Linked DNA regions of Pelodiscus sinensis. The protein of the gene in region 2 binds, or shares a complex with, the protein of the main gene of each other region. Links are inferred from orthologs where the notes say so. Each region holds a gene or a part of one and is shown on either strand. Other genes may lie near its edges.

Region 1 (7,674 bases), on a different chromosome or scaffold from region 2:
AAACTAAGACAAATTCCCTCTCTCATTATATATAAGTAAACATACAAACAATACCAAGATTAGGGCATGATATTGTTTAAAAAATAATATGAAATATATGTACACTGTCATCGCATCAAAGTATTTTTTCTACTGTATGTAACTCCATTATAGGTCCATTTCTTTATCTAAATTTCACTTATCTTATTTGAGTTTTCCTGTCATAATCTGTGCATTTTATTTCTCATACTATAGATCAAATACAAATGCATGCAACATTGTAACAGGAACATTTGTTTCTTTTTCATTAAATTCTTTTGCATATTTTTTGAATGGGGAAAGTAGGGAAGGGGTCGAGGGGTTCAAATTCATGAAACAAATAGAATGAAGCACAAAGGGCAAATGTACACACTGCACAGAAGCTATCTGCAGTCACAAATCTATTCAGTTTTCTATGTTTGGCATTCAGAGATCATGTTTAAATTTACTAAACTAGTTCCTCCCCCTCCTCCCCTTCTTTGGAGTATTTCAATTGCCTTTCCTTCTTCCAACAGCTGTGACAACTGTTAAAACAGTCAGTAAAATTAAGTCAGCTCTATAATCCTGTAGTCAATGTTACATTTTAATCAGAGGTTGAAGGAGATTTCATGTTATGAGCACGATTCATTTAGAATGATTAAACTGACACATATGTCAAAATGAGCAGATATATTTATTGCATCTGTTAGGTTATTAACTATTATTATTAAATATTAGAATTATTGTTACTTTTGTAAAGCAAAAACCAAGGCTGTAAATGGCTGTAAGTGATTGCATTCTTTAACATGCTCTGCCTTAAAAAATCAAAGCATACCTAGCGACGGTCAGGCAGATGTCCCAAAATGTTCTGTCAATTTTTAGCTGGGATCCTCCTCTACGCAATAATTAACTGTAGAAATTATCCACTTCTGGAAATGCTTCATTCACTTATATAGCATTCTCTGTAGGTCCTTATGCATATGGACATGACAGCTTACAGACAAAATGCAATTACTATGAATATTGATAGTTTTGGTGTTTATTAATTGAGACAGAGTCACAGATGTGTTTCTGAATATTAGATATTTCTGTCTGTCCACTCAACCACGCACCCAACACAGCCTACATCCGGAAAGTAAATTGGATTGTTTTAAGAAGACTTTTAGTTGAGCCAAAGGGGGGGGGGGGGAGGAGAATTAGTTTAAATCTTGCACCAGAGCCAAAAAGACATGTGCCCTGATTTCATTTAAATGCATCTACTTTAAGAGGCTTATCTAAACTAATCATTCAAATTAGCTGTAAGAAGGTAAATTCAGGAAAGCTCCTTTCAAAGAGAACCTCTTCCTACCTTTAATTTTTTTTAAACCCTTATTTTCTAGGGAAAAATTAAAATATTAAGTGAAAGCTGTGAACATTGCATTTATTCATATGTGAAGACAATTTACTGCAGTTCATGGAGCACTGACCTATAAACCATATCTTAGTGGGCAACCTATCTTTGTTTATTTTCATCTCTTTACCCCTTCAGTTTTAAAGGGGGTTCTTCCCTCTCTTACTTCAAACTGTTTTCCTAATGGCAAGTCTATTTCCTGCTGTTCTCTTTAACTCCTATGTTATATCACAAACATACAGTCACTGTAAGTCACTTTCCATCTCTGGCTTAATTACAAATAGCTATGCAATATGCAGACACTAAGGACAGCTAGTGGGCATCTACCTATAATACACTGTCACCTCTCTATACAGCCTCCCTACCCAGTGCATCTAGGGATGTACTTACTATTAGCATTTTTCTTCAGTATTACAACATTCATTGCTAGTGTAATAGGAAAGCCCAGCAAAATAACTGGCTCGACATAAAGAAAAATGAATCAATGACAGCTCCCATGATATACTAATATTTAATCCTGACTATAGGTTGAAATCAAGTTTATGAGCCACTCATCACCACTAGCATGCTGGATTTTGTTTGGGTTTTCTGCTTTTGATCTCAGAGAGTCCAAGTATTTATACCTGCATATATACAAAACTAGGTAGTTAATAGGTACAGCTGAAACAACTATATAAAATCATATATTAAAAAAGTAGTTTATTGTCTTTTGCAGGGACAAACCAACACAATGAAACAAGCTACAGGCTAATGGGAACAAATGTACTTCATTATATCAGTTCTCTATTAAAGTACAAAATATTAAAGTCAGTTTGGTTCTTTTCTTCCTTAATATTTTCTTCTCCTTTATTAAAAAGCACAGAATTCCCTTGTTATTCAGTAGACTGATATGTCAGTGAAGAAGTGCTGGTTGAACAGCATTTTAGACCTGAATTGCAGAAGGCTAATTGTGAATATTCATCCTTAAAGAGGTATTAGCAGTTATTTTCCCGGCTAACTCTGCACAGTCAAAAATGACAGGGAGACCAGAATATCTATCAAACCGCATATACACAAGAAAGGCACTAGTGTAAATCATTTGTATAATACATTATTTTAAATCCTTTCCCTGGGAAAATGTGTCCTACTGCAAGGCATGTTTTAACAATTCACTAAGCATTTGTGCCAAGTGCCTATTATTAGTACCTGAATAAGAAGTGACTGTCACACAGCTGTTTTACTGACAGTCACAGGGCTTTGACTCAAAGGTAACATTGTAGTCAGAGAACAATTCTCCACTTACTGAATTAGCAGATCATCCTCAGCACAAAAAAGACAAGACAGACACAAATAACCGTTCATGCACACACAAGCCACACAGCACTACCTGAATCAATGTTTACATTATTTTCATTAAAAAAAAAGGTTAAAAAAAGAAAGGAAGAAAGATACCTACTCTTCTTCGTAGTGAAGGGAAAAAGATTCAGGAAGACAAAGTTCTACCGAATCCATGTGCGCTCGGCAACCATTATTTGTGCACCCCAGCAATAAATCAAAGTTTCCTTGACAGAGCACAGTGCAATTAACACAAATGTTCTCCTGGTGACAAGCCTATAGGCACAGCCAGTTGGGACCAAAAGCTCTCACAGTCTCCTAATCAAGGACTTAAAGCCCCGATTGGAGCTTATTAATATGAAGTAGGGCTTTACATATGCAGTCCCACTGGCCCAGACAGATACTGGATTGGTAGCACATTAGCCAATCAGATGTGAGGAGAACAGAGACTGCACAGATTGAGAAAAGCCAGGCAGGTACAGAGGGGTGGAGAAACTGAAAGAGACTGAAAACAGAGTAGGGACTTAATAAAAAGAAATGTAAATGTTACCAATATTTTTCTAAGGGGCTACAAAGAAAACCTAATTAGCATAACTCTCTAGGCACTAGATGTTTTCTGTAACTTAAAACACTATTAGTCAAGTACCTTGAATGGAAGAAATACATGCAGACTCTCAGTTAATGTTGTGAAGAATTCATCATAAGGTAGAGAACTAAGTTTGTGCTGCTATTGTCTGTTTATTCCATTGTTGTTATTTGGGAGGATTTTGCTTGGGGGAGGGGAAGAGGGTTTAAGTGTTTTTGCTTTTTTCATGCAAAAATGATTTTTTTATCTTCTAAATTTTCTGGTATGTACTAAGAAACTAAGCTCAAAATTAACTGTTCTAAAGATCTGCATTGTCATTTTAACTGTAAGTTTGTGTTGTCAGTTTTATTTAAAAAAAGAATATTTAGAACTGAAAATCGATACCAACTTAACAGAAAAACTAATATTTTAAAAATGCATTTGTTTCAACAGCACAGATGCACGCATTGTTATGAGCACATATGTGTACACATACATATATCAGATCCATGTTAATATGGCATACTTAACACATTAGCCATAAATGCACATATCTGCATGTTCATAAACAGAAGGGAAAGCTCCAGCACTGACTAATTTCTTCTGTAACTGTGGAGGGATTATAATGGACTCAACTCAGTCTGTTTCATTTTAATAAGATCAGACTACATTGTGGTATGTCTGAATGAATACCCCTGCAGTTTTTTAATTTACTGTTTAAAGAAAATTTTAACAAACTGGAAGTAAATATATCAAATCCATTACTTGTATATATGCCTACATAATCATCTTTGAACCCAATTGCTCCAAACCACTGGCTTTTATAATTCACACTGATATACCTTATTAAATAAAATTCATTGAATAAACCAATTTTAAGAAAGTGATCATACGCAAAATCAGACACAGTTTACACTGAAAACACCAATTTTAAAAGGGGGTATGATACATTTCCCTCAAAATCTACAGCTTATTATTAACATTACAACTAAAATATACATTTTCTGGTAGCAGAGAAAGAATTTTTTCTACCAAGTTGCGGTGGAAATAAATATCAGCTATTTATGACAAGGAGATAACTGCTACCTTCTTAAGAGTGGAGGACCCACAATTTTTTATAATTCAGCTCTAGTGAGCACAAATCTTTTGTGACTGGAGCCCTACATGATGCAAATGACAATCTTTCAAGATCAAAACAAATCAGTGCAACCCTCAGAATGCATTAATACCATTCACAAATGGGAATACAAATGTCTTCTTCAAATCTATTACACAGCTTTTGGGGAAAAGAAACCCCAGAAATTAATTGAAAAAAAATGAAATGGACATGTTTAAAGCTCTTTATGTTAGACAGTGATTTCCAGTGTAATGTATTCAACCAGATGCAAAGGATAGGCCTGTTCCTTACATATTAAGCATTAATACATGCAAGTTTAAGGATCAGAACCAACACAGCAAAACTATAGCTCTAACTACTGAATAAAAGCAGGTAGTAAAAGCTTAATTACCAGTAGCATTATGCTGTCTATATTGTTAAATGTGAACTCTGTAATTAAGATGTAAATTTGGTTGTGAGAAGTGCATTAGAAGAGCTCTGAGATGTAAAGCCCAAGCATCCTTTAGACACACCATACAGACAAAAAAAAAGATTAGTTTTTAATCAAACCTTAAAACAAGATACATTTAATCATTTTACGGAATTAAAAACCCTTCCTTAAAAAAATACAGAGAAAAAGAAATGCTGTGGTTGTGGGAATCAGATCAACACTTGAAAATTAAATATTTATTCTATACTTGATTTCTTGATTTCCATATAAATCCAAAGTAAAAATCCCACTAACTGGTTTATTCATGCACATCTCCAGCAACATATAAACTAATAAACATCTTTAGTTTAAATGTATAACTTTAAATAGATATACATACTCTTAAAATAGCTATTTTCTAACTATACGGACATTAGGGCTTGAAATTCCTTCAGACTCTGTACCTGTGTGTTTTTTATTAAAAAATGATCCGTGTTGGAGATACACACACCCACACATGAGTCATTTGATACAGGTCATTTTTAAATCATTATTTCCTAGAACATATATAATTTGAAATAGGATTATTAAGCCATTTAAAACCTTATCAAACCAAAATTTACCTCATGTTTACTTTTGTTCATTATCTTTTAGACTGTATATTTATACTCAGCTGCTGAAAATCTGACAGTCTATTGCCTTCTCTTGTGGTCTGTCTTCCATCCTTTTCGTGTCCACATAGTTTTCACTACCCCTTAGCTTTCCCTCCCTATCCAATCTTTCTCTCCCCCTATTAACCATCACTATCTTTCCACCAACCATCTTTCATCCAGGCAAGCAGCTGCCTTCACTGCTGTGCTGCTCCTTAGATGACCAGAAACACAGTGCTATACTTTATGTGTTGATAAACAAAGCAGTTGGATTCCTCCGCTGGGACTGAAAGTGTCACCTCTACCAGACCAGGGTCTGGAATTCCAACTAGTTCCACTACTGAAATTCATCTACAGTTTTGAACATGGGTTTCCCAGTTACTGTTCAGCGCTTTTTTTTTTTAAAGCTTCTACAGCAGATAACTGTAGTAAAAGTTCTCAATAAACCTTCTTGTGCCACATTTTAAATAAATAAAAAGCCCTGGGGAGAACATAAAATCAAGGTAGATTTTGGTTTATAGAACTTCCGTAAAGGATATGGATTAAAAATGCACATGTACACACACACAAAAAATCTTACCATGAAGAGTATACAAAACATAGTAGAAATGGAACCAAAAAAAAGGGTATGTGTGTGTGGGGATTGGGGGGAAGGAAACAGTCACAAGTGTCCGCAGCAGTCAATGAGAATTACTGTGCAGTGTCTGCATCTCCACACATCTCCATGCATATAATTACCAAATGTAAGAACAGTACATCTTTAAGCATCTTCACACTTAAATGCAATCGACATTTCAAGGCATCCAAGGAGCCAGATTCCTAAATCACATCTACCTCAAGGCAACCGAAGAAGTGAAGATTCAGTGGCACTTTACAGAAGCAGCATAGTATATTATGACAAGAACATATTTGCTTAAAAGAGACCAAAATACATTTGGGAAGGGGTCAAAAACATTATTAATTCCAGCGTCTGCTCAGAGATTATTTATTTTTAAATAAATACTTTTTCTGAACCTATTATATTTAAGAAGGCTGTTTCCCACCTCAGCAAAACCTACATATGGGCTATGAGATTTTCAATAAAGTTTTAATTAAATGTTGGAGTATCACTCGTTGTTTGAGAGGAACTATGAGAGGACCAAATTAATGTTTATTTGCCACTCTGCCAGGTAACTAGGTGAGCTAGTGTCAAATAAAAAACACAATTTAAATTTGTTTCATGCTATTCATGCTAATTTCATTAAAATTGCTCTGCTGCTGTCTCCTTCCTCCTAGACACATAACTGGTTTGGTTTTGGAGTTTGCCTTTAGTGCTTCTTATTAGAAGGGATGCAGTGAATCTATGGGCACACTGTTAATGTAGAGAAAAATCTTTTCACTAAAATGAGTTGCAAATTTTGTTCACCTGTTTTTAAATGGTTAGGCAAATGGTAGCAGGTAACTACTTTAGAACCATCTGCTTCTTCGATCTGTATTTAGTATTAATCACTCCCTGCTTTGATCCTACACAAAAAAAAAACCCAACACTACCTCAACATGTTCTTTAGAACTTCATCACAAAACAGGAATTGTTCTACACACAAAGCTGAGGGCTGTTTGTTAGTTTAAAAATTCGGTTTTAGCAGATGACATATCTTCTCTAAGAAATCACAGCAAACACTTTGCCATATTATCAAAGTATATTCAAGTCACCTGATCTTAGCAATACACTCCATATTTTCTATTTCCTTTATTTTCAAGAACACAGACGTTAATTTTTAAATAACTGCCTTCACTGCTACAGAATAGAACCTTTTCCTACTGTTGTAAGTGAAAATTGTTCTGCTGAATAAAAAACACCCTTTACAGAGCCTTAAAAAAAGTGCCTACCCATTGCCCAACACTCAAAAAAAGGCTATTCTCATTAGAGAGAAATGAAGTGTCCACTCCAATATTGATATTTTTCGATTACACCGGGCTCTTACCCTAGTGTAAGTTTCTTCAGAGAAGCAGTAATGTGTTACTGTCTCAGACAGCCAAGGATAAAATGACTGAGGGAATTCAGTTGCTCTGTTTAATTAATACAGGATTATTTCACTTTCATTTTGTGAAGCTAATAATATGACTGGTGGAATGTCAGTAAAAATTAAATCATAAACTAGTGCAGTACCAAAGGGAAAACTTACTTTAGTTACAGAGTATTCCCAGCAGAAATCTTGAAAATCTTATACATATTTACACTGATAAAATACC
Region 2 (6,833 bases):
GCCGTTGCGGGCTCCTTGGGACTAGCCTTACTCGGCAGTGGGACAGTGGCCCCCCTCAAGAGACTGACGTAATTGAGTGAGATGAGCGGGGAGGTGAGACTTCCCCAGGCTCAGTATGGTGTGTTCACGGCTGGAATCAGAGGATTGCGAAGCAGCATTTCTACCAGAACCGGCCAGTACGCCGCCCCTCCCCCTCAGCCGTGAGCTGCTTGCGCCATGCGTGTGCAGGCAGAGGGGGCACCTGTCAGCGACCTAGGTAGTGTGTGAAGATGTTCTGCAGTTGAGTCTTAGCCCCTTCCTGGGTGTCCTAAGTGCAGTAGCCGTGTCAGTAGCAGCTTTTGCAGTCCCCGCATAGACTCTGCTGCCTCCCAAGGACTGAGCAGAAGAACTAGGCACAGGCTGGGCGGGTGTGAAATCCATTTACGCCTTGTACTTTTGTAACAAAATAAAGTTTCTCCTATTTACTGTACATGGGCATCTGGCTCTTGTTTCCCCAGCGCCCAAGGAGGGACGTCTCCCGGCTGCCCTGCATGTGCGCGCTCTCTGGAGAGGGTGGAGCGAATGAAGGTGGAGCGCTAGATGTGGCGTGTGTCTGTCTGACCTTCTGTGTTAACCATACGGGGCGGAAAGCCAGGAACGTCCTCACCCTAAAGCCAGCTTGGCACTGCTGGGGGCCCCGGAAGGTGGGGGTGAAACATGGCTTGGTCCCAAGAACGGGAGGCATCAAAGGTCTGCTGAACTGTCGCCATGTTTCCTGATTGGAGCCTGCCCAGATGCAAACCTCGTCCGTGCAGACCTGTTGGCTTTTTCTGCCCAACTGAGGCGGGGGCTCTGGCTCTTGCAGGGAAGGATGGGCTGGTTCAAACGAGCTCGGGGGTGGGGGGGCTGTGTCCTGCATACGCTTGCAGGCTAGTCCAGGGCTCTTGGAAATGGCCTTCTCCACAGCACTAGTCCCGTGTGGGAGCTGCTGCAGGGAGCACACGAGGGGAGGAGGAGACAGCCCTGCGGGTGGTGATCTGTGCCCCTCCCACGGGACTAGCTAAACTATCGAACCTCCCTTGTTCAGAGCTAGTTTAATAGATTCACGTCTTTCAGTCGGACTGAGTGCGCAGCTCCAGGGGCCGCCTTTCTCTCAGGTGCCCCGCAGGAAGGCAGCCGGCCACCGCAGCATGAGGATGCAAGGGGCAGTCCGGGGCGAGCTGGCCCCGGAGGAGCGCAGCAGGGCTGAGCACCACGCTGGACGTTGCGCTTCAAACGTTTACAGCCGGCAGGCCCCGGGAGGGGAACTGCAGGCTGCCGAGCCTAGTGCTGAACTTGTACTTCAGACGGCACCATGTCCCCAGGGTCCTTTCCCACGTGAGTCAGGCCGAAGAGACGGCCGGCTTCGTGCTCCCACAGTTTGGCAAACAGGCTTGGGGTTCGCACTAAGCGCAGTCCCTGGACAGGCTGCCGGCCCTAGTGTGTAATGCTGGGACACGTGTGTGCTCTGGCCCAGCCCAGGTCATGTAGTTCGCTTGGCCGTAGCTGCCGCTGCCTTTGGAGAAGGTTCACGTGGTGCTGCCCTCCACAGGGGCCTGTGCACTTCCACTGCAGCCCCCAGCCCCTCGTGGCTTGGCCACAGCTGTGCGGCGTACGCCCCAGGCAGATCAGGGCTTTTTAATCTGGGTCACCAACTGAGAGCAAGCAGAGATTCAGAGCGTGGCCAGGCTCTAGCTTTCCCTGCTGCAGACCTGCGCTGCCTTCCGCTCCCGGGGACAGACGTGGGATATGGTCGGGATAAACAGATCTCCCACTGAGAAGTGTGGCCTCAGAGCTGGGCCCTCCCAGGCAGACAGAGATGGGGGAGGGTTCCCATGTGAGACCCACAGCTGGGGCGAGCTTCCTTGGGGAAACTTCAGTGTAATCCTGGTGTGCGTGGGCCCTGTGCTATGGCCCTTGTGCGATCACAGCTGGGCGGGGGAGGTGAGACCGGCGCTTGCCCCCTTGCCTGGGAGAGTGGAGATCAGTGGCTGCATGGATCAGACATTGTTTCCCAGGCTGGGAACAGTTATTCCCCCCCAGAAGGGGCAGGAATGGGTATTTCCACAGAGGGAGGGGGCATGACATGAAGGAGCACTTAGCTGGAGCGCTAGCTCAGGCCCAGGGCCTGTAAGATGGCTGACTGCTTTCCTAGCGCTCCCAGGACTTGGCCAGGAACAGCTTCCCTGTGCCCTGCTATGGCATCCCCATCATTCCCTGCAGCCTCTAGGACTCCCGGCCCAGCCTCACACGAGTACCTAGATCCGACCAGTATTAGCCTGGCAGAGTCCTAGACTGGGCTGGGGCGGGGGGGGGCCTGCAGACCCTCAGAACGGTCGGTTGCGGGCGGCACACAAGTGAGAAGCAAAAAACAAAACCCCCAACCCCCACTGCCGTGAGCTCTGCCTGAGGAGGAGCAAGCCTCACCCCACATCCCCCTCTACACCAGAGCCTGGGGGCCCAGGCTACAAGAGTTTGCATGTTCCAGCCCCACGGGGAAGGTGGGGGGCTGGAGTGCCAGCGTGGGCTCCCCAATGCTGGGGGGGGTCTTGAGCCTCAGGGGCCTCATCCAGCCCCCAGGCCATAGTTTCCCCACCCCTCCCTAGACTATAAATACTTGCCCTGGGCTAGAAACTAGTGTGTGTGTGTGTGGGGGGGGGGGTGTCAGGGGAAAGGCTGGGGCCTGAGCACTAGGCTGGGACATGGGAAACTGGCAAGTCCTTGCTCTGACAGCGGTTTCCTGGGTGACCTTGAGCAAGTCACTTGCAGTGGGATTTTCAGAAGCCCTTTTGAAAAGGGCACTCGTCTCTGTGCCTTCACGCCCCCCCCCCCCCCCCCCGTATATACACTGGTGACAACGGCGCTTTCCCCTGGCCCGTTGGAGGTGTGAAGACCGCTATGTGGAAGAGCGGGTGGGAGAGGCTCAGATATTCTGGTTACAGGGCCCAGAGAGGTACCGTGCTCAGTCCACCCTGCCGTAGGTGTTCAGTTTCAAGCCTCAGTAGTGGGCTTTTCTCAACCCTTAAAAACCAGTTCTCCAGCCTCAGGCTGCGAGCAGGAGCCACCCCAGGCCACGCTGGTCCCACCAACTGGTGTCTGCCTTCACCGGACTGAAATCAGCCAGGACAGGGCCTTTCTGCAGCCAAGAGCTCAGCATCAGCTGGGGGGGGGGGGGCACTCAGATGTGGCTTTGCACAGATGAGTAGTTGTGAGTCAGGCAGCTGGAGCAATTTACCTGCAAAGGGGAACAGCTGAGTTACCGACCCCACCCTCTCCTCCCCAGGGCTGCATCCACCCAGCAGATAAGGCCAGTGATTAAGGCAGGTTTCAGTGCAGTGAATTTGTCAGGACGCCGCCTGGCAGCATCAGCCTGTGGAGCAGTCAGCCCCTGGCAAGTAGGAACAGGCTCGATCGGTTGGAGAGACAAACTTCAGGAGAGCAGGAGAGCCCGATTCTAATGGCAGCAGCTGATCCCAGAGCAGCCGAGCCCTGGCAAAAAGGGGTTTCCAAGTGTCTTCAGTCACTGGGGCAAGGCGCAGGCCCAGCAATCCAAGGGTGGGTACAATGCAGGGCCGCTTCTATTGGCTGAGGTGAGGCCTGTGTCTTAGAACGTCCTTTCCACCAGCCTCTGCCTACTTTCTGGCCTAAGCTCTGTCCCCTGCCCCTCACTCTGAGCCAGGCTGGTAGGAAGTAGCCTGAGAGGCTCTTATTTTAAAGCAGAAGGTCTGCAGGGGGACGTGGTGCTGTGTCTCAGCGGAGGCGTTTCACGGCAAGTTGCCCGAGTGCCCCTTCCTAAAATGGGAGGGGGGGTACTTGAAATATCCCGTCCCGTCCCTTCCCCACGGTCAGTCGACTCTTGGCCTTGCTTCCAGAGAGCATTGTGGTCTCCCTGACTCTCCGTCCCTCAAAGGGAAGGGGCGGTCATGGGGCCCTGTTCCCCGCCAGTGCCGGCCCGGCGTTCCCAACCTGCTCCTTTGCTCCGTAGGCAGCTTTGGGCTGCACAGGCACAAGCACAAGGTGACTTCTTTCTGACATCTGGTCCATAAGCGCATCCTTTGGGAAACTGAGGCCAGCTCCGCAACACAGTCCGAGTTCAAAGGGAGTGAAATGACTTCAGTGCGAGGTGTGATTTGAGCCCCGGATTAGGATTAACCTGCTGTTGGGGGAAGAGCCCAAGGGACCTGCCAGTGTTTTCAGAGCTTCTTCTGCCCTATAATGTTGGAGCTGCTCAGCCACCCATCTGTTTAGGAGCTTGGTCACGGCCTCTTGCCACGTCTGCCGCTGTGGTGCCCAGCCAGACTCCACTGAGGACGCTAATGGGATGAGGAGCTGCCTGGGGAATCTCCCTGCGTTTGTGTCAATCACACTTAAAATGATAACGTGCCTTTGGAGGGCGTTTGGGGCTGTTGGAAGCTGCAGGATTGGCCATCTCAGTGCTGGAGGGTCTCGAGCGAGCCCAAGCGCAGGTCAGCCGCAGGGCAAGATTCCCCCCGGAGGGTCCTTCTCTGGGCAGGAGAGATGAGCTGGCCCTCCCTGGCCTCGCCAGTGGTTGGCTGCCCAAAAGGGGGCTAGGGCTGCCCGTGAGGAGAGACAGCCAAGCACGCTGTTTGGAAGGAGGCCTTGCGTGAAGATGGATTTCTCTGACATTGGCAGGTGCAGAATCCGTTGCGCTCCAAGGTGAATCACTGCCGCTTGCCTTTTAAGGAGAGTGCTGTCTGGCAGGAAGTGGGGGAGGGGTTCACTGAGTGCTTTTCCGCCACGCCCAGCCCTTGCTCCAGGCTGAGACGCCAAGCCAAAAGCCGATCCCATCAGCAGAGCGGAGCAGAGACTCGGAGGGCTCCTGAGGTGACTGCCTGCTCCCTTTCGAACCGGCCGCTTTGCCACCCGTGCTCCCAGCCATGGCCAGAAACCAGCAGGTGCAGAAAGCCAAGCTGGCCGAGCAGGCGGAGCGCTATGAGAACATGGCAGATTTCATGAAGGCCGTGGTGGAGCACGGGGACGAGCTCTCCAACGAGGAGCGCAACCTCCTCTCGGTGGCCTACAAGAACGTGGTGGGGTGCCAGCGCTCTGCCTGGCGGGTCATCTCCAGCATCGAGCACAAGACTGAGGAGGGCGACGAGAAAACGCCGCTGGTGAGCGAGTACCGCGAGAAGGTGGAGGGGGAGCTGAAGGACGTCTGCAACGTCGTCCTGGGGCTGCTGGACAAGCATCTCATTAAGAAAGCCAGTGACCCAGAGAGCAAGGTCTTCTACCTGAAGATGAAGGGAGACTACTACCGCTACCTGGCCGAGGTAGCCACCGGGGATGACCGCAAGGAGACCATAGAAAACGCCCAGAAAGCTTACCAGGAAGCAATGGACATCAGCAAGAAGGAGATGCAGCCCACCAACCCCATCCGCCTTGGGCTCGCCCTTAACTTCTCCGTCTTCCACTACGAGATCGCCAACGCCCCGGAGCAGGCCATCACGCTGGCTAAAACCACGTTCGACGAAGCCATGGGCGACCTGCACACGCTCAGTGAAGACTCGTACAAGGACAGCACCCTCATCATGCAGCTGCTCAGGGACAACCTTACGCTATGGACGGCGGAGTGCGCGGGAGAAGACGGCGGAGAAGCCGGCGGAGAAGCCGGGGAAGAGCCTAAGAACTGAACTGCAGCCCCCTGAGCGACGGTCGCTTTTCCCACCCCTCCCCCTTTTGTGTAAGACGCCGCTCGGCTCCCGACAGCTCTGCCTGGAGTCCGACAGCAAAGGGGACTGGCTGGTCTGTGCATGTTATTCCCACTTTTTACTCCGTCTTCTCTCGTGGCAGCTTTGGGACAAATCCCCCTTCTCTGGCCCTCCCCCCCCCAACATTTCTTGTGATCTTCTTGCAGTGGGAGAGCACCTGTCACGTTCCACCAACCCGGGTGTAACAGCGGGTCTCCTTGAGCTCCAGCCCTGGGGCCTGATGGGGCTGCCAGCCATTAACATTTAAAAGGGGAAGCGGAGGTTGGTTTTCGGGGCGAAGGTACCAAAGTGGAGCGGTGGCGGCTCACTCGCGCGCTCCCCTTTGCTGCCTGTGGCGCCGTGCTCCGCAGGGTTCTGCTGGGTGTGGCCGGCCGGCCGAGGGAATCTTCGGAGCGGGTGACGAATGACAAACTTGAGGTGCCTCGTGTATTTGTGCCTTGCCGAAGCCGCTGCCTGCCTGTCCCTCTCCAATAAAACTGCACTTCCACCCCTGCCTTTGTCGTCCTCGGCGTCGCTTCTTTCCCGCACCCTGTACGCGGCTCGGTCAGCACTGCCTGCCCCGCTGCACAGGGGCCAGGGAGTCCTGAGCACGCCCCCGGCTCGGCAGGGAGCGAGCGCAGCCTGGGCCCAGGCAGGATGCCTGCTGGCCAGTGCGTGAGGGCTGGCCCCCAGCAGAGGCGCTAGGCTGAAGTCGAGTGTTGGGAGCAGGCTGTGCCCCAGAGAGCCCAGCGGGCCATGAGCCCAACTTGCATTTGAGAAGTGATGGGGATAGGTGGGGGTGGAGGAGCAGCAGCTTTCGCAGAGGAGAGGGACTTTGCGGGGCTCGGGCCGAGGGAGTAGGAGCCCCGGGAACAGCGTCTGTTACCCTTTCTCAGGCTGTCTCCAGCGCCGAGTGTCTGACTCCCCTCCCTGCCCAGCGCTGCTGCTGCTCAGACTGGTTTGAAACCCCAGCCACTGTCCCGTGGCTTCCTGCAGCTAGAACCCACCTGGCCCCAACAGCCACGGCCAGCTCCCAGCCCAGCTGTTCAGCCCCTTGTGTCCGTCCTTGTCTGCATGGCCTGCCACTCCGCTCTGCTCCTGGGCCAC

The links. Proteins that work in one complex are often made in the same cells at the same time.
Region 1: the proteins of SFN (region 2) and ESRRG are in contact, whole or in part, in a crystal structure (PDB 8BJG), measured with the Homo sapiens proteins. The link is inferred for Pelodiscus sinensis from reciprocal best matches to the Homo sapiens genes SFN and ESRRG. Residues at the interface, in NP_006133.1 of Homo sapiens: Asn42, Ser45, Val46, Lys49, Arg56, Arg60, Arg129, Tyr130, Glu133, Gly171, Leu174, Asn175, Val178, Glu182, Leu222, Asp225, Asn226, Leu229, Trp230; in NP_001429.2 of Homo sapiens: Arg175, Arg176, Arg177, Lys178, Ser179, Cys180, Gln181, Ala182.

What each region holds. Positions count from the first base shown.
Region 1 is NC_134713.1:150,705,948-150,713,621, forward strand, and holds the start of ESRRG (estrogen-related receptor gamma), read right to left. Parts: upstream 3,037-7,674; 5' UTR 2,879-3,036; coding exon 2,823-2,878; intron 1-2,822. UniProt on the Homo sapiens protein: Orphan receptor that acts as a transcription activator in the absence of bound ligand. Binds specifically to an estrogen response element and activates reporter genes controlled by estrogen response elements.
Region 2 is NC_134735.1:2,336,171-2,343,003, forward strand, and holds SFN (14-3-3 protein sigma), read left to right. Parts: upstream 1-4,811; 5' UTR 4,812-4,916; coding exon 4,917-5,669; 3' UTR 5,670-6,241; downstream 6,242-6,833. UniProt on the Homo sapiens protein: Adapter protein implicated in the regulation of a large spectrum of both general and specialized signaling pathways. Binds to a large number of partners, usually by recognition of a phosphoserine or phosphothreonine motif.